3 linked regions of the Anolis sagrei genome follow. The main gene of each other region encodes a partner of the protein of the gene in region 2 in a complex. Links are inferred from orthologs where the notes say so. Each region holds a gene or a part of one and is shown on either strand. Other genes may lie near its edges.

The links.
Region 1: the proteins of CENPA (region 2) and NTMT1 are in contact, whole or in part, in a crystal structure (PDB 5CVD), measured with the Homo sapiens proteins. The link is inferred for Anolis sagrei from reciprocal best matches to the Homo sapiens genes CENPA and NTMT1. Residues at the interface, in NP_001800.1 of Homo sapiens: Gly2, Pro3, Arg4, Arg5, Arg6, Ser7; in NP_001273725.1 of Homo sapiens: Tyr19, Trp20, Met30, Leu31, Gly32, Tyr34, Ile37, Trp136, Asn168, Ile175, Asp177, Asp180, Asp212, Glu213, Ile214, Tyr215.
Region 3: CENPA (region 2) and CENPC share a complex: the UniProt entries of both Homo sapiens proteins name them as parts of the CENPA-NAC complex. The link is inferred for Anolis sagrei from reciprocal best matches to the Homo sapiens genes CENPA and CENPC.

Annotation. Positions count from the first base shown.
Region 1 is NC_090031.1:3,641,091-3,648,938, forward strand, and holds the start of NTMT1 (N-terminal Xaa-Pro-Lys N-methyltransferase 1), read left to right. Parts: upstream 1-4,824; 5' UTR 4,825-4,942; intron 4,943-7,848. UniProt on the Homo sapiens protein: Distributive alpha-N-methyltransferase that methylates the N-terminus of target proteins containing the N-terminal motif [Ala/Gly/Pro/Ser]-Pro-Lys when the initiator Met is cleaved.
Region 2 is NC_090022.1:15,640,511-15,648,568, reverse strand, and holds the start of CENPA (histone H3-like centromeric protein A), read left to right. Parts: upstream 1-4,959; 5' UTR 4,960-5,069; intron 5,070-8,058. Other genes in the region: zinc finger protein 850-like, read left to right, coding at 1-896. UniProt on the Homo sapiens protein: Histone H3-like nucleosomal protein that is specifically found in centromeric nucleosomes. Replaces conventional H3 in the nucleosome core of centromeric chromatin that serves as an assembly site for the inner kinetochore.
Region 3 is NC_090026.1:56,281,300-56,288,824, reverse strand, and holds the start of CENPC (centromere protein C), read right to left. Parts: upstream 3,103-7,525; 5' UTR 2,989-3,102; coding exon 2,986-2,988; intron 1-2,985. UniProt on the Homo sapiens protein: Component of the CENPA-NAC (nucleosome-associated) complex, a complex that plays a central role in assembly of kinetochore proteins, mitotic progression and chromosome segregation.

The sequences.
Region 1 (7,848 bases), on a different chromosome or scaffold from region 2:
ATAATATAATTACTGCTACTAATAAAATAATATTTAATAATATAATATACTACTACTAATAAATAATGATATAATAATATACGACTACTGTTACTAATAAAAGAATATTTTATAATGTAATATACTAATAATATTTAATAATACTAATATATACTACCACTGCTACTAAATAATAATAATAATAATAACAACAACAACAACAACAATAACTATATAATATACTTATGCTAATATTAAATAATACTAATAATCAGGGCCAGCTAACACTTCCCAACAAAGGATTCCCCCAGGCAGGAAGCAGCCAGGCTTTGAAGCTGCAAGGCCATTCAATGCTAATCAAAGTGGCCAATGGCAACATTCACACTTGCCTCAAGCAGACAAGAGTTCCTTCTCCCACCCTGGACATCATTCCACAGATATATAAACCCCACTTGCCTAGTTTTCAAGAGACCCCATAACCTCTGAGGATGCCTTATATTAATAAGAATATGAATTGAGTAAATAATTATATATTATAAGTAAGTAATACTAAATAATAAAATTAAGCCAGTCATACTAAACAATACCAATCATATGATTTGAGTAAATAATACATAAATGATAAGTAGTTAATTATAATATTATATAATATAATATACTATCACTGCTACTAATAAACTAATAATAATTTATAATAAAACAATATACTAATAATAGTTAATAATTATAATACTATACTACTACTGCTACTAATAAAATAGTAATAATAATATATACTATATTATAATGAAATGAATTCAATCATATTAATACCAATCATATTAAATGAGTAAATAATAATAAATAAATAATAAACAATGCTACATGATAAAGTTAAGTCAATCATGCTAATATAAATTAATAGGTAAAGGTAAAGGTTGTCCCCTGACATTAAGTCCAGTTGTGTCTGACTCTGGGGTGTGGTGCTCATCTCCATTTCTAAGCCGAAGAGCCGGCGTTGTCCGTAGACACCTCCAAGGTCATGTGGCCGGCATGACTGCATGGAGCACCGTTGGAAAAATTCTATCTATATACAAATTGGAAAAATATAAATTAATACTGTTATGCAAATCATCATCAACATGATACAAATTGGAAAAATAGCAAAAATAAGAAAGATACCAAGGGATAAAAATTGTGTCAAGAATGAAAACAAGAATAATGTGAGTAAATAATAATATTAATTAAGTCATGGTAATAATAATAATGGAGTAAAACTGGAGTAAGTACCTAATACTACATAATAAAATTAAGTCAGTTATACTAAGTAATACATATAAATTAATAATAATAATCAATCAATAATAATCAATAATCGGAATTTAGAGCGTCAGGCCTCGTTGAAAAAGGCTATCTGTGCTCCAGCTAAAAAACGGGGGAAATTTTGGGGACCGAAATGGCTTTTGGGGTATTTTAAAAAAACAGGGATGGATAGGGTTTCTGTAAGGAGCGAGGAATGCCATTGTCCCCGTCTTTGGAAAAGAGACAAGAAAACCTTAAGTCCCAATGACCACTGGAGGTCAGCTTTTCAATAATATAGTGCAATCCAACTTTATTTGAGGGAATATCTTTCATGCTCACTGTCTCTCCAAAGAAGAAGAGGCCAGGAGAGAAACAGCAGCAGAAGGAGGAGGAGAAGGAGGAGAAGGGAGGCAGAGCGCTCACTGTCTCTCTCTACACACAGAACAGTGCATCCCATGGCTTGGAAGGAACAAGGGCGTGCAGAGATTATCATATCATAACACTATATAATATAATATAATATAATATAATATAATATAATATAATCACCATATAATATAATATAATATTTATTATAATAATATAATATAATTATTCATCTAGCTATCTAACAATTTATATTATATTATATTGCATAATAGTATATAATGTGTAATATTGCATTGCAATACAGTATATCATATTATATTACAATATCTATATCTACCATATATCTAGCTATCTATCTATCTATATAGGTAGGTGTGTGTGTATATATATGTGTGTGTGTGTGTGTGTATATGGATGTTCGAACAGGCATTTGGTTAATCGGTGCAATGAATGTGATGATTACAGGATTGGTAATATGGACGACGAAACTGGATCACGATTTGGTCATGAGATGCATTGGATTGTTGTTGTGCCAATATTGTGTATTATGCTTTTATGGTTTTAAATTGTATATTGCTGACTGTTGTATCTTGTTGTAAACCGCGTTGAGTCGCCAGCTAGGCTGAGAAACTGCGGTATACAAAGTAAAGTAAATATATATATATATATATATATATATATATAGTATATTATAGTAAAAAAGGTTTTCCCCTTGACATGAAGTCTAATTATGTCTGACTCGGGGGGGGGGGGGGGGTGGTGGTGGTGTAGAGTATCTCCATTTCTAAGCTAAAGAGCTGGCGTTGTCCATAGACCCCAGGCATGACTGCATGGAGCGCCGTTACCTTCCCGCCTGAATGGTACCTTTTGGTCTACTCACATTTGCATGTTTTCAAACTACTAGGGTGGGCAGAAGTTGGGGCTAACAATTGGAGCTCACTCCAGATTTGAACTAGCGACCTTTTGGTCAGCAAGTTCAGCTGCTCAGAGGTTTCACCCACTGCACCATCAGGGGCTCCTGTATATTATAGTACTCTATATTACAGTAGACTATATTACAGTGTGTATATATATATCATAATATAATATTATACTATAATATAATTATAATAATAAAAGCTATTAATCTATCCATCTAACAATTTATATTATATTTCATAATAATATATAATGTGTGTGTGTGTGTGTGTGTGTATATATATATATATATATATATATAATGTATTGCATAATAATATATAATGCAATACAATATAAACAATATAATATGAATAAACAACAAGAATATTATATTGTCATGTAATATGCAATACATATATATAGCATATTGTAGTAATCTATATTTCAGTCGTTTCCAACTCTTTGTAACCTCATGGACCCAGTCCACGCCAGAGCTCCCTGTCGGCCATCACCTCCCCCAGCTCCTTCAGAGTCAAGCCAGTTACTTCAAGGATGCCATCCATCCATCTTGTCCTTGGTCAGCCCCTCTTCCTTTTTCCTTCCATTTTCCCCAGTATATAATATTATACAGTACATATACACACATGGTAATATAATGTTATAACAATAATATATCTCTATCTATCTATCTTTATAATATCTATTATATTACATTATAATATATATAATATATATATTATACAATACAGTATACAAGATTATGGCAACAAGAATGATTGACAACTGGAAAATAGAGGGAGAAACCGTGGAGGCCGTGACAGACTTTGTATTTCTAGGTGCAAAGATTACTGCAGATGCAGACTGTAGCCAGGAAATCAGAAGACGCTTACTTCTTGGGAGGAGAGCAATGTCCAGTCTCGATAAAATAGTGAAGAGTAGAGACATCAGACTGGCAACAAAGATCCGCCTAGTCAAAGCCATGGTCTTCCCTGTAGTAGTCACCTACGGATGGGAGAGCTGGACCTCAGGGAAGGCTGAGCGAAGGAAGATCGATGCTTTTGAGCTGTGGTGCTGGAGGAAAGTGCTGAGAGTGCCTTGGACTGCGAGAAGATCCAACCAGCCCATCCTCCAGGAAATAAAGCCCGACTGCTCACTGGAGGGAAAGATACTAGAGACAAAGTTGAAGTACTTTGGCCACATCATGAGGAGACAGGAAAGCCTAGAGAAGACAATTATGCTGGGGAAAGTGGAAGGCAAAAGGAAGAGGGGCCGACCAAGGGCAAGATGGATGGATGGCATCCTTGAAGTGACTGGACTGACCTTGAAGGAGCTGGGGGTGGTAACGGCCGACAGGGAGCTCTGGCGTAGGCTGGTCCATGAGGTCACGAAGAGTCGGAGACGACTGAACGAATGAACAACAACAACAATACAGTATTATAAATATGATATACAATATAGGAAATATTACATTATATATAATATATAATGTATTATAATATATATATATAGAGAGAGAGTACAATATAGCCTATATTTATATTATATTACACTATATTATCCATGCCATATGCACAATGGAGGACCTTCTTATAGCAACACCAGAGGCACTCCAACTAGCCAGCTACTAGTCCATAATAAATAAACAAACAAACAAACAAACAAATAAATACACTATATCAGGGGTCCTCAAACGATGTTATATATAATATATAATATATAATACATTGCAATATAATACATCTGCATTCCACTCTTGTTGCATCTGGTGTCAATTTGAGACATGAAGACCTTCATAAATTCATCTGTAGACTGGAAAGCAATGGCATCTCTAGGCCTTTTCTAGGTACTCCAGGCAGTTCTATGATATCTTGGAAGTTATCATAAAGTTGGGTTAAAGGATGGAGAAAATGCCTAGAGTGGGAATGGTCCTCTACGGTCCATTTTTGGGCATTTTGGAGTCCAAAACATTGGACCAAGAAGTCCAAACTGTTGGCAAGAATGGTGATTTCTAATGTGTTCTAATCTTACGTTGATGTCTTTTAAGGTTTTATGTATTTTAATACTTTATTTTGACCTGTTTTGGTGATGGCATACAATGCTTTATGCCTTGAGTAGAGGCAGGTTAGAAATAATGATGATGATGATGATGATGATGATGATGATGATGCATTTCCAGGTCTGTTGTGATCTATGCCTCCCAACCTTTGCAATTGTTTTTCTCTCCTCCTGCTTCGTTCCCTCTTTCTTTCTTTCCTTCCTTCCCTCTTTCTTTTGCTGAAGCAGAAGCGAATGGGTTGACATTAGCAGCAAAGAGGGAAGTGAGTCACTCTGAAAGCCACTCGGGTTTCCATAAACCCACGCGTTTGGGAAAGGAAAGAACATCAGAACACATTGCCTTCCAAACATCTTCAAGGTTTCCCCCTCCTTATTTAATTTACTTTTATATTACATTTTTAAATTTCATTTCTTATTTTTTCAATTATAATTTTAATTTTAATTTATATTTATTGAAGTTTATTTCAATGCTTATTTTTTAATGTTTATTATATATCATTTTTCCGTTTAATTTTAATGTTTACTTTTATTTTTTTATTTAATTTTAATGTTTATTTTTATTTAGGGATGTTTATTTTTACGATTTTGGTTTTTAAACTTTCAAGTGGACACCCCAGCCACATACACACATACATAATTTTCACTTTTTATTATGTATATAGATAGATAGATAATCAGTTTGGAAGTTTCCCGAAGAATATGTTTACAGATCAAGGATTATTTTGGATATTATATTATATTTATCGTAGTATAGTATATATATATTCCGGATGGAAATTTGCTGAAGGATCCATTCACTGATGAAGGATTATTTCTAATACTTAGCAGGATAGTATAAGGACCCATTAATCTCTACAATTTGAGGATGCAGAGAAGAGTAGAGGGTGAATCCTGGCTCTGCCATAATATCTAAGGGGTTAATTTAGAAGGCTAAATATGTCCCTTTCTGGGCATTTTCTAGGTCAAACAAAACCTATTTCAGTGTGTTTCCCCTCCTGTGAATGGAAAGTAAGAGAAAGGTACTCAGAAATATGGGATTATTGAGTTTTTTTACCCCTCCTTTTTTGCTAAAGGGACAAAACCCTTGTGTCGCAAGAACTGACTCAGAAGAAGGAGCAAATATTTGGAGAGCCGTTTTTATCCGTCTGCCCGGCTTGCGGGACAAGGGCCCTGTTTTCTGGCTTTCAGTGCAAATAATCCTAGCCAAACATTCCCCTGGTTTGACTTGGATGTAAATAAGTCATGTCCCGTCCCCCCCAATTGAACACTTTAAGTGTGAGAGCTTGGTAAAGCCTAATAATAATAATAATAATAATAATAATAATCCATGATCCCAAGGTTCAAAGCTAGCAAATACTTCCAACTCTATGATTGTATTATTATTATTATTATTATTATTATTATTGTATTGTCGAAGGCTTTCATGGCCGGAATCACTGAGTTGTTGTAGATTTTTCCAGGCGATATGGCCATGTTCTAGAGGCATTTTCTCCTGACGTTTCGCCTGCATCTATGGCAAGCATCCTCAGAGATAGAGAGGTCTGTTGGAAGTAGGAAAATGGGTTTATATATCTGTGGAATGACCAGGGTAGGACAAAGGACTCTTGTCTGCTGGAGCTAGGTGTGAATGTTTCAACTGATCACCTTGATTAGCACTTCCAAGCCATTAAATGCTAATCAAGGGGGTCAGTTGAAACATTCACACCTAGCTCCAGGCACTGCACCCGTGTGCTGATCACCACTGCGACCACCTTGACTGGCTTGTGCCAGTCTTTGCATTATTATTATTATTATTATTATTATTATTATTATTTGAAACTCAACAAGATGAGTCCACAGCAGACACTCTGCTGGCTGTTGAATTGGATCACACGTCGGACACTTCCCAAGTGTCTAGGGCTGTGTGATGTATCGCCAAATAATGCGTGCAGATCCCAGTAAGGTGGCCTTCTGCAACTGGCAGATAGTAATTTTGTCAGTGCCGATTGTGTTTAAGTGCAGGCCTAGGTCTTGAGGCACTGCACCGAGTGTGCCGATCACCACTGGGACCCCCTTGACTGGCTTGTGCCAGAGTCTTTGCAGTTTGATCTTTAAATCATCATATTGTGTCACCTTTTCCTGTTGTTTCTCTGCAATCCTGCGGTCATCTGGGAGTGCAACATCGACGACCCATACTTTGTTTTTTAACACGATTGTGAGGTCAGGAGTCTTGTGCTCCAGAATTCTGTCTGTCTGAATTCGGAAGTCCCAGAGTACCTTGACGTGTTCATTCTCTGTAACCTTTTCTGGCTTGTGATCCCACCAGTTCTTTGTCACAGGCAGATGGTGTTTGTGGCACAAGTTCCAATGAATCATCTGAGCAACGGTGTTGTGCCTCTGCTTGGAATCTGTCTGTGTGATCTTCTTGCGGCAGTTGAGGATGGGATCTATTCTTTCACCTGCTTCCTTGCAGAGTCTACAGTTGGGATCTGTTGTCGACTTTTCAATTCTGGCTTGGATGGCGTTGGTTCGAATGGCTTGTTCTTGGGCTGCCAGAACCAGGTCCTCCTTTGTCTCCTTTTTCCGAGTTCCATTTGTGAGCCACAGCCATGTTTTTCTTTGTCCATTTCGCTCTCAATTTTTCCCAGGAACTGTCCAGGGAGAGCCTTCTTTGGCCAGTGTTCTCTTCTGCTCTGGATTGTGTTTTTATGGTATTCCCTCTTGTCTTTTGCACTTGAAGCAGTTTCCTACTCTTGACTTCCCTCAGTGTTGGTTTTTCACTGCCTTTCCCATCATCTACCAGTGTGTTTTTCTCTTCTTCTTCTACTGTTGGTTTCCCTTGCAGAAGCCCTCTCCTCTCTGCCTCCTGATTTTCTGGGTAGGTCAAGTCTGTCGACATCACTATGCAGGTGTAATGCGTAGTGGATGGCCATCAGTGGATGGCCCAGGGGTTGAGAGCCTTGATCGTATTTCCGCCATTTAATTTGCTCTTCAAAACTTTTCTGACTCTTTGGATATATTCTTTGCTGACCACATTTTTCACTTGCCCATGCTTGATATTGTCCCACTGTAGTATGCCTAGATTTTTATAGGCTTCAGGGTTATTGCACTTTATGGTATTATTATTATTATCATTATTATTATTATCATTATTATTATTATTATTATTATTACTATTATGCAGATCCTGGATGGCCATCTGTCGAGAAGGTAGCACTGTGTCTTCCTAGGATATTATTATTATTATTATTATTATTATTATTATTACGCAGATCCTGGATGGCC
Region 2 (8,058 bases):
GCGATAAAATCGGCCGCCTCATCCACGAAAGGACCCACACTGGAGAGACGCCGTACAAATGTTCGGAGTGTGGCAAAAGCTTCGGCACACGCTGCAACCTCCTGAGGCACCGGAGAGTGCACACGGGAGAGAAACCGTACAAATGCTCGGATTGTGGGCAGAGTTTCAGGTACAGGCCGCAATTGGTGATTCATGAAGGAATCCACAAAGGAGAGAAGCCATACAAGTGTGCAGAGTGTGGAGAGAGTTTTAGCCAGACTCGGCACCTCGTTATACACAAATGGACCCACACTGGGGAGAGACCCCACAAATGTGCCGTCTGCAGCAAAAGCTTCAACCAGAAATCGGACCTTATTACGCACATGAGGACCCACACAGGGGAGAAACCATACGTCTGCGTAGAGTGTGGAAAGAGCTTCATTTCTAGCTGCCAGCTCCGAAAGCATGAGCGTATCCACACGGGCGAGAAGCCGTATCAGTGCTCCGAGTGCGGCAAGTGTTTCACATACAGCTCCCACCTCACTACACACAAACGGACACACACAGGGGAGAAGCCATACCAGTGTCCCGACTGCGGCAAGTGCTTCATCTCGAGCTCTCATTTAACCGCGCACACACGGACGCACACAGGCGAGAAACCGTATCAGTGTTCGTACTGCGGCAACGGCTTCATTCAAAGATCACAACTCGCTAAGCATGAAAGGTCGCACACAGGGGAGAAGCCCTTTGTATGTTCTGAGTGTGGCCAAAGTTTCCAGTGGAGCCAAGGGCTCAAAAAGCACATGCGGACGCACACTGGAGAGAAGCCATACAAGTGCCCGGAGTGCAAGAAAACATTCTCCACTTCCTCAAACCTTTCTAGGCACCAGAAAATCCACACCAGGGATAGACAATAGAGGCTCTTAGAAAAGGGATGAAAACCCAGTAGCTCTGTGGATGTTGCTGGACTGCATCTCCTATCAGCCTTTACTTGCATAGGCCATGGTTGTTAGGGAAAACTACCCTAAATATAGCGGAGCATCCAAAAATCAAACAGGATACTAAAAGTTGAGCATTCAGCTCATTAGCAAGCAGAGTGTGAAGTGTCGTGTGATGTGGCTGTAAAGAATTCAGAGCTTGGGAGGTAAACATGCAGAGTCTAATCTTAAAAAATCATAAAAGGTTTATTTACAACTAGCTTTCCCCTGCCACGCATAGCTGTGGCCCAGTCTGGTGATCTGGAAAATAAAGTAATGAGAAAGTGTTGGCTTCTAATATATGTAATTCCTTTATGCTTGTGAGTAAACAGTATTTCTTGTTGTTTCTTTGTCAGTGTTGATGTGGAGAGTGTCTGGTTTGCCCACTCTGGAACATGCAACATATCATTGTCCTTCTTTAGGGGTCTCTTTCAAATCTATGATACTATATCTGTGTGTGTGAGAGAGAGAATCATATCAATCTATCTATATTTATGACTGGATGGCTCTTTGTCAGGAGGGCTCTGATTACATTTTCTTGCCCTGGTGAAGAGAGTTGGACTGGATGGCCTTAAGTATTTTCTGTTGGTCATGGGGGTTCTGTGTGGGAAGTTTGCCCCATTTCTGGGTTTCAGAATGCTCTTCAATTGTAGTGAATTATAAATCCCAGTAACTACAAATCCCAAATGTCAAGGTCTATTTCCTCCAAACTCCATCTGTGTTCATATTTAGGCATATGGAATTTTTGTGTCTAGTTTGGTCCAGATCCATCATTGTTTGAGTCCACAGTGCTGTCTGGATGTAGGTGAACTACAACTCCCAAACTCAAGGTCAATGCCCACCAAACCCTTCCAGTGTGTTCTGTTGGTCATGGAAGTCCTGTATGCCATGTTTGGTTCAATTCCATCATTGGTGGAGTTCAGAATGCTCTTTGATTGTAGGTGAACTATAAATCTCAGTAACTATAACTCCCAAATGTCAAGGTCTATTTCCCTTAAACTCCATCTGTGTTCATATTTGGGCATATGGAATATTCGTGCCAAGTTTGGTCCAGATCCATCATTGTTTGAGTCCACAGTGCTCTCTGGATGTGGGTGAACTATAATTCCCAAACTCAAGGTCAATGTCCACCAAACCTTTCCAGTATTTTCTGTTGGTCATGGGAGCCCTGTGTGCTAAGTTTGGCCCAGTTCCATCATTGGTGGAGTTCAGAATGCTCTTTGATTGTAGGTAAACTATAAATCCCAGCCACGACAATTCCCAAATGACAAAATCATATATATTTTTTAGTGGAGGACATAAATTGGACTGTTAGGTGTCTTGTGTCCAAATTTGGTGTCAATTCCCCCAGTGGTTTTTGAGTTCTGATGGGAGCACGAACTAACATTACATTTTTATTTATATAGATAGTAAACAACTAACTACATTTCTTTATGGTAAATAACTGGGTCTGAGCTACTCTGACACCCATCTCTTCTAAGGTTTCAAGAGAGGGGAAAACTCAATCACGACATCTCTCCTGACACACAAGCAGAAAGAGATCTCAAAACACACAGCACATACTCTTCATACCAAAGTGTAAGAAAGCAGAAGTCAGGTTTAAAAATGCTTGCAGTAGAAAAATATCCATTTTAAACAACTCATCAGAATGAGAGCTGAAAGGGAAAGGGGAGAAGAAATAGATACATTCCCAGCTGTCATTCAGGAGTCATGGGGGAAGGGAAACACTTAGTCTATACTAAGCTAACTAAACTGTTCCTCGTTGAGGACTTGAGACTTGGACAGTGTGGGGTTGAATTCCAACAATGCTAAGGAATGCTCAGAACTCTGTCTCTAAGCATTATGAACCCACAAAGTTCTTCATTCTTTAGTCTATTGCCTGAATGTTTTTTATAAGGTAGTAACTTTAGAAATAAAGAAAAAACATTTCAAATACAAGCACAAACCTTTTGTTTTGATTGAGAAAAATATTGGATTCACACCTAATGCGATGAATAAATTTGTCTAATGTATTGTCGAAGGCTTTAATGGCCAGAATCACTGGATAGTCTTCCGAGATCGGTGTACTGGAGGTGGGTCCATAGGTGACTGTGGAGCCCTATTTGTGATCTGCATGTTCTCCCGCAGTGAGGGCATTGGTTTCCAGGTGGAAGGCGGTCCTTGTCAGGGTTGGCTTGACGCGCCTTCCTCTTGGCACGTTTCTCTCCTTCGCCCTCCATTCATGCCTCTTCAAATTCTGCAGCATTGCTGGTCACAGCTGACCTCCTGCTGGAGCGCTCAAGGGTCGGGGCTTCTCAGTTTTTAGTGTCTATGCCAGAGTTTTTAAGGTTGGCTTTGAGCCCATCTTTAAATCTCTTTTCCTGTCCACCAACATTATGTTTTCCGTTCTTGAGTTCGGAGTAGAGCAACTGCTTTGGGAGACTGTGGTCGGGCATTTGGACAACGTGGCTGGTTCAGCAGAGTTGGTGGCGGAGGACCATCGCTTCAATGCTAGTGGTCTTTTCTTCTTCTTTGTCCGCTTGTCTTCCCAAGAGATTTGCAGGATTTTCCAGAGGCAGCGCTGATGGAATCGTTCCAGGAGTTGCATGTGATGTCTGTAGACAGTCCATGTCTCACAGGCGTATAGCAGGGTTGGGAGGACACTAGCTTTATAAACACTCACCTTGGTCTACCTACGGATGTCCCGGTCCTCAAACACTCTCTGCTTCATTCGGAAAAATGCTGCACTCGCAGAGGGGGGTAGTCTCTCATCTGGTATCACCCATGGATTGAGGTGCTGAGTTTGGGCCTGCCACTTTTGGACTCTCGCTTGCTGAGGTGTTCCAGCAAATGTCTCTGTAGATCTAAGAAAACTAGGTGCTGCAAAGGAGCTGTAAGGCAGTATATCTTCCAGCCAAGCTGTAGGGCTGTATAACCCCAGCCAAGCTGTAGATGAAGCTTTCTACAGGAGCTCTTGGTATTATGTCCTGCATGGAAAGCTTCTCTGTGTGGACTGAACCCAAACTGGCTCCTTTTCCCTCCAAAAACCCCAAAAGGGGGCGGGACCAGGGAACCTAACTATAATTGACAGGTGGCTTGCCCTATGATTGCAGCCAAAAGAAGCCACCTATCTGCAGAGTCCCAGAAACTTAGGACGACAACAAACATTCAATGCAAAGCAAACAAAATTGGAGCTCCTGGTACAGCTGTACCTGCACAATAGCGATGAAGATGGAGAATAAAGTTGGGGCAATAACACATCCCTGTTTAATGTATTGTCGAAGGCTTTCATGGCTGGAATCACTAGGTTCTTGTGGGTTTTTTTCGGGCTATAGGGCCATGTTCTAGAGGCATTTCTCCTGACGTTTTGCCTGCATCTATGGCAAGCATCCTCAGAGGTAGTCAGGTCTGTTGGAATTAGGACAATGGGTTTATATATCTGTGGAATGGCTGGGGTGGGGCAAAGAGCTCTTCTCTGCTGGAGCTAGGTGTGAATGTTTCAACTGACCACCTTCATTAGCATTTGAAGGCCTGGCTGAGCCTGGGAAAATCTTTTGTTGAGAGGTGTTAAGATGTGCTGTTTTGCTGTTGTACTCCCTGTTTGACACCTGATTCCACCTTAAATGGGTCACTTTGGGAGCCATTGCTGTCCAAGAACTAATGCATTCTGACACCACTTGTACCGCCATGGCTGAATGCTTTGGGGTCTAGGAAGGCTAAAGACCTTGTGAAGCTACAACTCCTAAGAGCCCATAGCATTCCAAACTGCATTCATTCAACAGCAGACAGGATCTTTCTTTGGCCCGCCCTCCTTTAGTTACCATTGGCTCCTTTCCCCCGTCACTCATCGCTGTCACACCAACCGCAGCCAATCGCCATCAAGACTCGGGGAAATTCTATGACCCAACTAAGTGGACCCAAGTTCTAATTCCCATTGGTCAGATTGTTGCTTGTGCTTCTCTTCCTCCGGCCAAGATTCGAAAGGCGTCGTTCGCGGAGCGGATTGGCTGGCGTTCCAGGAAGGGGGCGGGATTTGTGACCTGGCGCGCAAATTCAAAGAGAGGGAACTGGAGGAAGAGGAAGCAGAGCTGGTGTGAATTCTGGGTTGTTGCTGTTCCTGAGTCGCCGCAGGAGGTGAGAACGTCCAGTTTAGGGGAGTGCGCCCTGACGTCACAAATGCCCGCCCAGGGTGCATCTGCACTGTAGAATTAACACAGTTTGACACCACTTTTAAATGCCATGCTTCAAAACGCTATGAGGCATGGAATGTTTGCCTTTTTTCTTTGTTGGAGTCTCCTCGGGGTGATAGGCCGGAATATAAATAAAGTAGTGTTATATTATTATTATATTTAGAAGTAAAGAAAGATAATGTGTGTGTGTATGTATGTGTGTACACACACACACAATTATATATGTATGTGTATGACATATCTTGGAGGTGAGACCTGGATCCAGACGTGAAAATAATTTTTGTTTCATATTCTGTGTTTATCCTATTGTATATTTTGTTATTGTTTGCATTTTATTTGATGTTATTATTTGTTGGATGTATTTTACTTTGCATTATTGTAATTGTTGGGCTTGGCCCTGTGTTAGCCACCCTTGGGGAGATGGTGGTGGGGTATACAGTTTATTATAATGGCGCTCCATGCAGTCATGCTGGCCACATCACCTAGGAGGTGTCTACGGACAATGCTGGCTCTTTGGCTTAGAAATGGAGATGAGCACCACCCCCCAGAGTGGGGCATGACTGGACTTAATCTTTACCTTTATTATTATTATTATTATTATTAGACGACTACTAAACGACTCCGGCCCAGTTTACCTGTCCGAACGGATTCTCCCCTATGAACCATCAAGGTTGTTAAGATCTTCTGGAGGGGCCCTGCTCTCGGTCCCGCCACTCTCGCAATTGCGTCTGTTGGGACGAGGGACAGGGCCCTCTCGGTGGTGGCCCCTCAGCTCTGGAACTCTCCTACTGGAGAACTGCCCCTTCTCTCCTGACTTTTAGAAAACTGGTGAAAACTTGGCTCTGGAATTTAGCATTTGATGAGTGAGTCAATAAACTCCTGACCACACGGACGGATGGCGATGAATTGTGATTTCGTTCTGACGACTTGGCCTTATGTAATTATATGACTGTATTTTAATGTGTTAGTGTATCATGGGATGTGATGTTTTAAACTACTGTTTATGAATCTTTTGTTGTGAACCGGACTGAGTCCCTCTGCGGAGGTCGAGAAGACCGGTATAATAAAAGTTCAAAATAAATAAATAAAATAATAAATAAATATTGACACAAAAGCACAGTATGTCACAGCAAACGAGATCTATATGCTGGATTTCGTATCACAAAATCACAAGTTGTACACTTCCCAAGCGTCTAGGACTGTGTGATGTATTTTCGAATGATGCGCACAGATCCAAGTAAGGTGGCCTTTTGCAGTTGATAGATCGTGATTTTTTCGATGTTTGTTGTTGTTATTAGAAACACAACAAGATGAGTCCACAGCAGATCACACGTTGGACACTTCCCAAGTGTCTAGGACTGTGTGATGTATCTGCAAATAATGCGTGCAGATCCCAGTAGGGTGGCCTTTTGCAGCTGGCAGATGGTAATCTTATCAGCGCAAATTGTGCTTAAATGCAGGCCAAGATCGTTAGGCACTGCACCCAGTGTGTCGATCACCACTGGGACTATCTTGACTGGCTTGTGTCAGAGTCTTTGCAGTTCAATCTTTAAATCCTCATATTGTGTCAGTTTCTCCAGTTGTTTCTCTTCAATCCTGCTGTCACCTGGGATTGCAACATCGATGATCCACACTGTTTTTTAACACGATTGTGAGGTCAGGAGTATTGTGCTCCAAAACTCTGTCTGTCTTAATTAGGAAGTCCCAGAGTAGTTTGACATGTTCATCTTCTGTAACTTTTTCCGGCTTGTGATCCCACCAGTTCTTTGTTGCAGGCAGATGGTATTTGTGGCACAGGTTCCAATGAATCATCTGAGCAATGGTGTTATGCCTCTGCTTATAGTCTGTCTGTGCGACATTATTATTATTATTATTATTATTATTATTATTATTATTGTTTTATATATATCATAGACATGTACCCGTAAAATAATAATTTTGTATACTAATTGTAATAATTTTGTCCATGAAAAGAAGTCTGTGTTCACTGAACCATCAGAAAGCAAGAGTTTTTGTTTGCAAGGCTGAGGGGAAAGTTATGGGAAGGGAATATCTTTGGATTTGAATGTTTTGTTTTCTATTTAAGTGCTTATGATGTTCTTTTAAAATTTAATGTGTTGGATTTAAATGGCATTTTTTGAAAACGTAATGACATTTAATTCAAAAAGCTAGCTAGCAAGCAAAGGTCTGAAAAAAATCACCATGTCAGCAACCCATGCTGGCATTTTTGGATTTTGGTGGCTTTTATTCCAAGGTAAGGAATGTTCTGCCCATAATGTAGTCCACTTCTCTCAAAGTCTTTCTGCTCAGCCATGGGAGCCCAGGGTTGGGTAAGCCTGAGCAAGTCCCTCTCTTTCAGCCTCTAAGGGAAGCAATGATAAGCTCGCTCTGAGCAAAGTTTGCCACGAACCCTATGAAGAGTTTGCCTTTGCATCGCAGTAAAGTTGGAAATAACATACACAACAATATGGAACTGCAGTCTATTTGTATGCATGTATTAACTGGCCAAGACTGTAGTCCTGTATGCATTTACCTTGAATTGGATTTCCCCGATCTATTTATTTATTTCGTATCAAAAGCATTGCATAAAATAGTATGAAACTATTAAAAGTAGAAGGAGCACAAGTGGCTAAATATCTTTTGACCAAAAATGGGCAACAGCGACCGCATTGTCTGTAGCCTCAAACAATTCTTCCTCTGCGCATGAGGCAGGGCATTGTGGGAAAGAATACAATTGTGGAGTTGTTTGTTCTCCATTTTACCAGGTTGTCTTTTGATTTGCCCACCTCACTTCTGAGTCTGTTCAGGGAATTCCAAGTTGCCCATTCTTGGTTTGCCCCTGGAGGAAGACCCTCGTGGGGGGCCATCCAGTTGGGGTTTCCTGGTTTAGCTGCCCAGAGGGATACTCTTGCTGTTGATGGGGGAACATTAAG
Region 3 (7,525 bases), on a different chromosome or scaffold from region 2:
ACAACAAAACTCAAAAATCCCCCAACGAAACTTAATCAAAATTCCCATGCTCCATCACTCCCCCCGCCGCCGCACACACACACGCAACCCCACGCTCCATCACTCCCCCCACCGCCGCACACACACGCAACCCCACTTCCCCCGCCGCCGCACACACACACACAACCCCAGGTTCCATCACTCCCCCCGCCGCCGCACACACACACGCAACCCCACGCTCCATCACTCCCCCACCCCAATCTTACCTCCTTTTACTTCACGCCACCTCCAAACCCCACCCCGCCCCTTCCCGCCCTGTCAAAATCTAGGAAAGACAGGAAGGAAGGAAAGAAGGAAGAAAGAGAAAGGGAGGTAAAGAAAAAGGGGGAAGGAAGGAAAGTTAGAGGAAGAAGAAAAGGAAAGAAAAGGAAAGATGGAAGGAAAGAAAAGAGAGACAGCAGAAGAGAAAGAAAAAGGGGGAAGGAAGGAAAGAGAGAAAGAAGAGGAGAAGGAAAGATGGGAAGGAAGGAAGGAAGGAAGGAAGGAAGGAAGGAAGGAAGGAAGGAAGGAAGGAAGGAAGGAGGGAGGGAGGGAGGGAGGGAGGGAGGGAAAGAAGGAGAGAAAGAGGGAAGATTGGCCACAGCAACACGTGGCGGGTAAAGGTTGTTATTTCTATTATTATTATTATGCTATTGTTCCTATGAGACCCTTTTAGGGGGAATGGGAGAGGTGTCAGGTCCCAGAGGCAATGCATTGCATTATTGTTATTGTTATGATGGTGGTGAAATAAAAGGAAATAAAAAGTGAAAGAAGGAAGCAAACAGGGAGGGAAGAAAGGCAAAGGAAGAAAGGGGGAGGGAATGAAGGAAAGAGAGAAGGATGATACCAAGTAGTGAAAGAAAGAAAGAGGTAGAGAAGGAAGAAAGGAGAGAAAGGAGGAGGAAAAGGGGGAAGGAATAGGTAGGGACCTCTCTTTCATAATAGTCCAGATATCTACCTCAACTTTGATAAGTTTTACTATAGGCCACAGCAACGCGTGGCAGGGCACAGCTAGTATAAATATAATATAACAACAGAGAGGAAACAAACAAGGAGATATAATATCACCTCTCAACAAAAGTTTGCTCGAGGCACTGTCAGGCCATTATATGCTAATCAAGGTGGTCAGTTGAAACATTCACACCTAGCTCCAGCAGACAAGAGTCCTTTGTCTCACCCTGGTCATTCCACAGATATATAAACCCATTTTCCTAGTTCCAACAGACCTCACTACCTCTGAGGATGCTTGCCATAGATGCAGGCGAAACGTCAGGAGAAATGCCTCTAGACCATGGCCATACAGCCCGAAAAACCTACAACAACCCCAAAATATTGTCGAAGGCTTTCATGGCTGGAATCACTAGGTTCTTGTAGGTTTTTTCGGTCTATAGGGCCATGTTCTAGAGGCATTTCTCCTGACGTTTCGCCTGCATCTATGGCAAGCATCCTCAGAGGTAGTGAGGTCTGTTGGAAATAGGAAAATGGGTTTATATATCTGTGGAATGACTGGGGTGGGGCAAAGAGCTCTCTGCTGAAGCTAGGTGTGAATGTTTCAGCTGACCACCTTCATTAGCATTTGGAACACTACATGGAACACTTTGAAAAACAAGCCCTGGAGACAGCAACCAAAAAGCCCACGATATGGTTCAGATATGTGGATGACACCTTCACCATTTGGAGCCATGAAGAAGAAGAGCTCAGCAGGTTCCTGGACCATCTTAACAACATCCACCCAAAAATCCAATTCACAATGGAAAAAGAAAATGAAGGAAGACTGCCTTTTCTAGATGTCCTAGTCATCCGCAAACCAGATCAACAATTGGGTCACACCGTCTACAGAAAACCCACACACACAGATAGATATCTACATAAAAACTCCAACCATCACCCAAGTCAAAAAGAAGCATCATTAAAGCCTTGGCAGACCCTGCAAAAAAAGAATCTGCAAATCCCACCTCCTCCAAGATGAACTGAACCACCTCAACTGGGCTCTCCAGGCCAATGGATACTCCACCTCAGACATCAGAAGAGCTGCAAGACCAAGAACAAGCCACGAGAGTCAAGATGAAGATCCACCCAGAGGAAAAGTGTTCCTGCCATACATCAAGGGAACCACTGACCGCATAGGGAAGCTGATGAGGAAACACAACATACAAACAATCTACAAACCCACCAAGAAAATCCAACAAATGCTACGTTCAGCAAAGGACAAGAGGGATCCTCTCACCTCTGCAGGAGTCTGCCGTGTGCCATGCAGCTGTGGACAGGTCTGCATGGGGACCACCAAACGCAGCATTGCCCAAACACGAATCAAGGAACATGAAAGGCACTGCAGACTACTTCAACCAGAGAAGTCAGCCATGGCAGAACACCTGATGAACCAACCTGGACACAGCATATTATTTGAGAACACAGAAATGCTGGACCATTCCAACAACCACCATGTCAGACTACACAGAGAAGCCATTGAAATCCACAAGCATGTGGACAATTTCAACTGAAAGGAGGAAACCATGAAAATGAACAAAATCTGGCTACCAGTATTAAAAAAACTCTAAAATTACTACAGCAAAACAGCAGAGAGGAAACAACCAGGCACATCTTAACACCTCTCAACAGAACATTTTCCCAGGCTCTGCCAGGCCTTCAAATGCTAATGAAGGTGGTCAGCTGAAACATTCACACCTAGCTCCAGCAGAGAAGAGCTCTTTGCCCCACCCCAGCCATTCCAGATATATAAACCCTTTTTCCTACTTCCAACAGACCTCACTACCTCTGAGGATGCTTGCCATAGATACAGGCGAAACGTCAGGAGAGAATGCCTCTAGAACATGGCCATACAGCCCGAAAAACCTACAACAATCCCAAAATAACCACAATTCCTACAATATAAATGTACCCTGGCGTTTGACAGCTTTCGTTATCTATTAAAGTCAAGGCGGGGAAACGCCTTCTCTTTGGTGTTACCATTGCGGCATTCCTCTGATCCACATCCGACGCAAAAGGACAAAACACCAGCCTTCTCGTCACGCCGCTCCCTGGAAATAATTTCAAAACTTTACCTCTGCCTCAAGCGCGCGCGCGCTCCGGAGAGAAGGCCGCTGATTGGCCAAGTCTCTGTTACCGTCACAAAAAGATGCGCGCGCGGATGAGCGTGCGCGCGGCTAAAGACGGGCGGAAGGAAAGGCTGATTACCATAGACTCAATAATGGTAGACTCATGTTGAATGTCAGCTTGCGGGTTCATTTGGCGAAAGTCCAGCTCTTAGGCCTCATCTACAGTTCTGACCATTTATTGCAGTTTGAGGCAAGCTGCAGCTTTCAAAAATCAGTTTGAAAGCTACATTTTATGATCAGTGTAAACCAGGAGTCCTCAAACGTTTAAATAGAGGGCCAGGTCACAGTCCCTCAAACTGTTGGAGGGCCAGATTAAAATTTGAAAAAAACCATGAATGAATTCCTATGCACACTGCACATAGAATCAAAGAGTTGGAAGAGACCTCATGGGCCATCCAGTCCAACCCCCTGCCAAGAAGCAGGAATATTGCATTCAAAGCACCCCGGACAGATGGCCATTATTCCAGTAAAACCAAATCATAACGAACCATTGAATGCATTTGCATATTATATCGAACTCAAATGATGTTCAATGTATTGTCGAAGGCCTTCATGGCTGGAATCACTCAGTTCTTGTGGGTTTTTTCGGGCTATATGGCCATGTTCTAGAGGCATTTCTCCTGACGTTTCGTCTGCATCTATGGCAAGCATCCTCAGAGGTAGTGAGGTCCTCACCTCTGAGGATGCTTCCATAGATGCAGGCGAAACGTCAGGAGAAATGCCTCTAGAACATGGCCATATAGCCCAAAAAACCCACAAGAACTGAGTCAAATGATGTTGTTTAGAGCACAAAAAATTGCAACAGTAAAAGATTTCTGAATACTCCCTAGACATTTCCACAAATCTGTTAACAACAATGTTCAGGGTTTACAATGGACTCTGCAGAAAATGCTTCAACTGTACTTCATGAAAAGGAAAACCAGCCTGTTAAGAAGTCTTGCAAATGCTGACTTATTATCAATAAATGTTTGATTTTTAAAAATAATCATAGAATCAAAGAGTTGGAAGAGACCTCATGGGCCATCCAGTCCAACCCCCTGCCAAGAAGCAGGAATATTGTATTCAAATCACCCCTGACAGATGGCCATCCAGCCTCCGTTTAAAAGCTTCCAAAGAAAGAGCCTCCACCACACTCTGGGGCAGAGAGTTCCACTGCTGAACGGCTCTCGCAGTCAGGAAGTTCTTCCTCATGTTCAGATGGAATCTCCTTTCTTGAAGTTTGAAGCCATTGTTTTGTGTCCTAATCCCCAAGGAAGCAGAAAACAAGCTTGCTCCCTCCTCCCTGTGGCTTCCTCTCACATATTTATACATGGCTATCATATCTCCTCTCAGCCTTCTCTTCTTCAGGCTAAACATGCCCAGCTCCTTAAGCCGCTCCTCATAGGGCTTGTTCTCCAGACCCTTGATCATTTTAATCGTCCTCCTCTGGGCACATTCCAGCTTGTCAATGTTGTTGTTCATTCGTTCAGTCATCTCCGACTCTTCGTGACCTCATGGACCAGTCCACGCCAGAGCTCCCTGTCGGCCGTCACCACCCCCAGCTCCTTCAAGATCAGTCCAGTCACTTCAAGGATGCCATCCACCCATCTTGTCCTTGGTCGGCACCTCTTCCTTTTGCCTTCCACTTTCCCCAGCATCATTGTCTTCTCCAGGCTTTGCTCATGATGTGGCCAAAGTACTTCAACTTTGTCTCTAGTATCCTTCCCTCCAATGAGCAGCCGGGCTTTATTTCCTGGAGGATGGACTGGTTGGATCTTCTCGCGGTCCAAGGCACTCTCAGCACTTTCCTCCAACACCACAGTTCAAAAGCATCGATCTTCCTTCGCTCAGCCTTCCCTAAGGTCCGGCTCTCACATCCGTAGGTGACTACAGGGAATACCATGGCTTTGACTAGGCGGATCTTTGTTGCCAGTGTGATGTCTCTACTCTTTACTATTTTATCGAGACTGGACATTGCTCTCCTCCCAAGAAGTCTTCTGATTTCCTGGCCGCAGTCTGCATCTGCAGTAATCTTTGCACCTAGAAATACAAAGCTTGTCAATATCTCTCTTGAATTGTGGTGCCCAGAATGGGACACAATATTCCAGGTGTGGTCTAACCAAAGTGGAAGAGGGGTAGCATGACTTCCCTGGACCCAATTCTATCGTTGGTCGGATTCAGAATGCTCTGTGATTGTAGGTGAACTATAAATCCCACAACTACAACTCCCGAATGTCAATATTCTATTTCCCCCAAACTCTACCAGTGTTCACATTTAGGCGTATTGAGTATTTGTGTAGAGTTTGGTCCAGATCCATCATTTGAGTCCACAGTGATCTCTGGATGTAGGTGAACTACAACTCCCAAACTCAAGGTCAATGCCCACCAAACCCTTCCAGGATTTTCTGTTGGTCATGGGAGAACTGTGTGTCAAGTTTGGTTCAATTCCATTGTTGGTGGAGTCCAGAATGCTCTTTGATTGTAAGTGAACTATAAATCCCAGCGACTACAAATCCCAAATGACAAAATGTGAACTCCCCTAGGGATCTTTGTTGAAGTACAGTATAAGATAACTTACGGTAATTCAGCTTGCAGTCAAATACTTCTTGCAAAGATGTACCATAATTAACCCAAGTTATAGTCCTATGCATGTTTTGTTGAAGCATGCAAGCAATCGGTGAGTGAGTGTCAACTCAAAATAATTGGTTGGGCAATGCATGGGGTGATGGCTGAGCCTGGAACTTTTGGATACTGTTGCACTTTACAGGCTTGAACTATGCAGATGTTAGATAAGAGAAACAGAGACAGACTGATTTGATTCTGCTGAAAAGAAGGCTTTTCATATGGTCAAAAATACAATTTTAGATCTCTCTGAAAGGACATTTAGTGAGTTGATGCAACTGATCATTTTAGACATATGTTCTGAATTAAGAAGAGGAAACTTCGTGTTTTTTATTGTTCATTTGCGTGGCATATTTTCTTTATCTGGCAAGGCAGTGTGTGGGCTGATCCAATGTGACCTTTACATGGTTTATTTTACATTATGCCACATGTTTTTCAATAGACCCTATGGAACATTACAAGATTTATTTCTCTATAACTGTAAATAACTGTTACTTATAATTGTCAGTCTATTGCATTGTTGGTAACAGAAAAATAGTACTTAACATGGTTTCATACTGTCTTTGTAAATATGTAAGTAGAGACCTCTTCTATCATGTATTTAATATTGTTCACACCACTCAATAATCAATTTATTTATAATTATATTTTACACAAATAGAACCACAGACGGATTAACTTTTTATTGCCAGCTGACATTTGTTAACTCTGAATTATTGTGATCTTTCCAATCAGTGCCTTGCATAACAACACTAGTCCTAAATTGACAACTTCTATATTGATTTTATATCAGTTCATTTGTCACGGCTTACTTTGAAGAATTCCAAAGCTTCCCTTATTTAGTGAGGGTACTAAAGTTCCTAGTTACTTTCTTTCTCCTCTGTTTTCTGGATGCAGAATGGTGAGGAAAGAGATAATTGCTAGATTTATAGTGTAAGTATGCTTTATTGTCACTGTTCATAATGAAACTTGAGAGTTGATTATGATTTCTAAAGCCCATCTTACTTCAGACGGTGGGCTATGTCTTAGGATTTCATCACATGAGGCAAGGGACTCAGGGCGGTGAACAACAAAAAAAAAATGGCAAACATTCAATCCCAACAAGACATAACAAAACAGGTCAAATCATAAACAATAAACAACATCAAAATATAATTTAAAAATAGCTAGCTGTGTCATCACATCTAGGGCCAGTTGAACTTATCCTCTGTTCCTCCCCAGTAACATTTTGACCATCTTCCAAACTGGGAGTTCCATCTTCCGATGGTATACTGACATATCTCTGGTTGTACTGATCGATTTAGTTTACTGATCCATTTGTTGTTGTTGTTGTTGTTCATTCGTTCAGTCGTCTCCGACTCTTCGTGACCTCATGGACCAGCCTACGCCAGAGCTCCCTGTCGGCCGTTACCACCCCCAGCTCCCTCAAGGTCAGTCCAGTCACTTCAAGGATGCCATCCATCCATCTTGCCCTTGGTCGGCCCCTCTTCCTTTTGCCTTACACTTTCCCCAGCATAATTGTCTTCTCTAGGCTTTCCTGTCTCCTCATGATGTGGCCAAAGTACTTCAACTTTGTCTCTAGTATCTTTCCCTCCAGTGAGCAGTCGGGCTTTATTTCCTGGAGGATGGACTGGTTGGATCTTCTCGCAGTCCAAGGCACTCTCAGCACTTTCCTCCAACACCACAGCTCAAAAGCATCGATCTTCCTTCGCTCAGCCTTCCCTAAGGTCCAGCTCTCACATCCGTAGGTTACTACAGGGAATACCATGGCTTTGACTAGGCGGATCTTT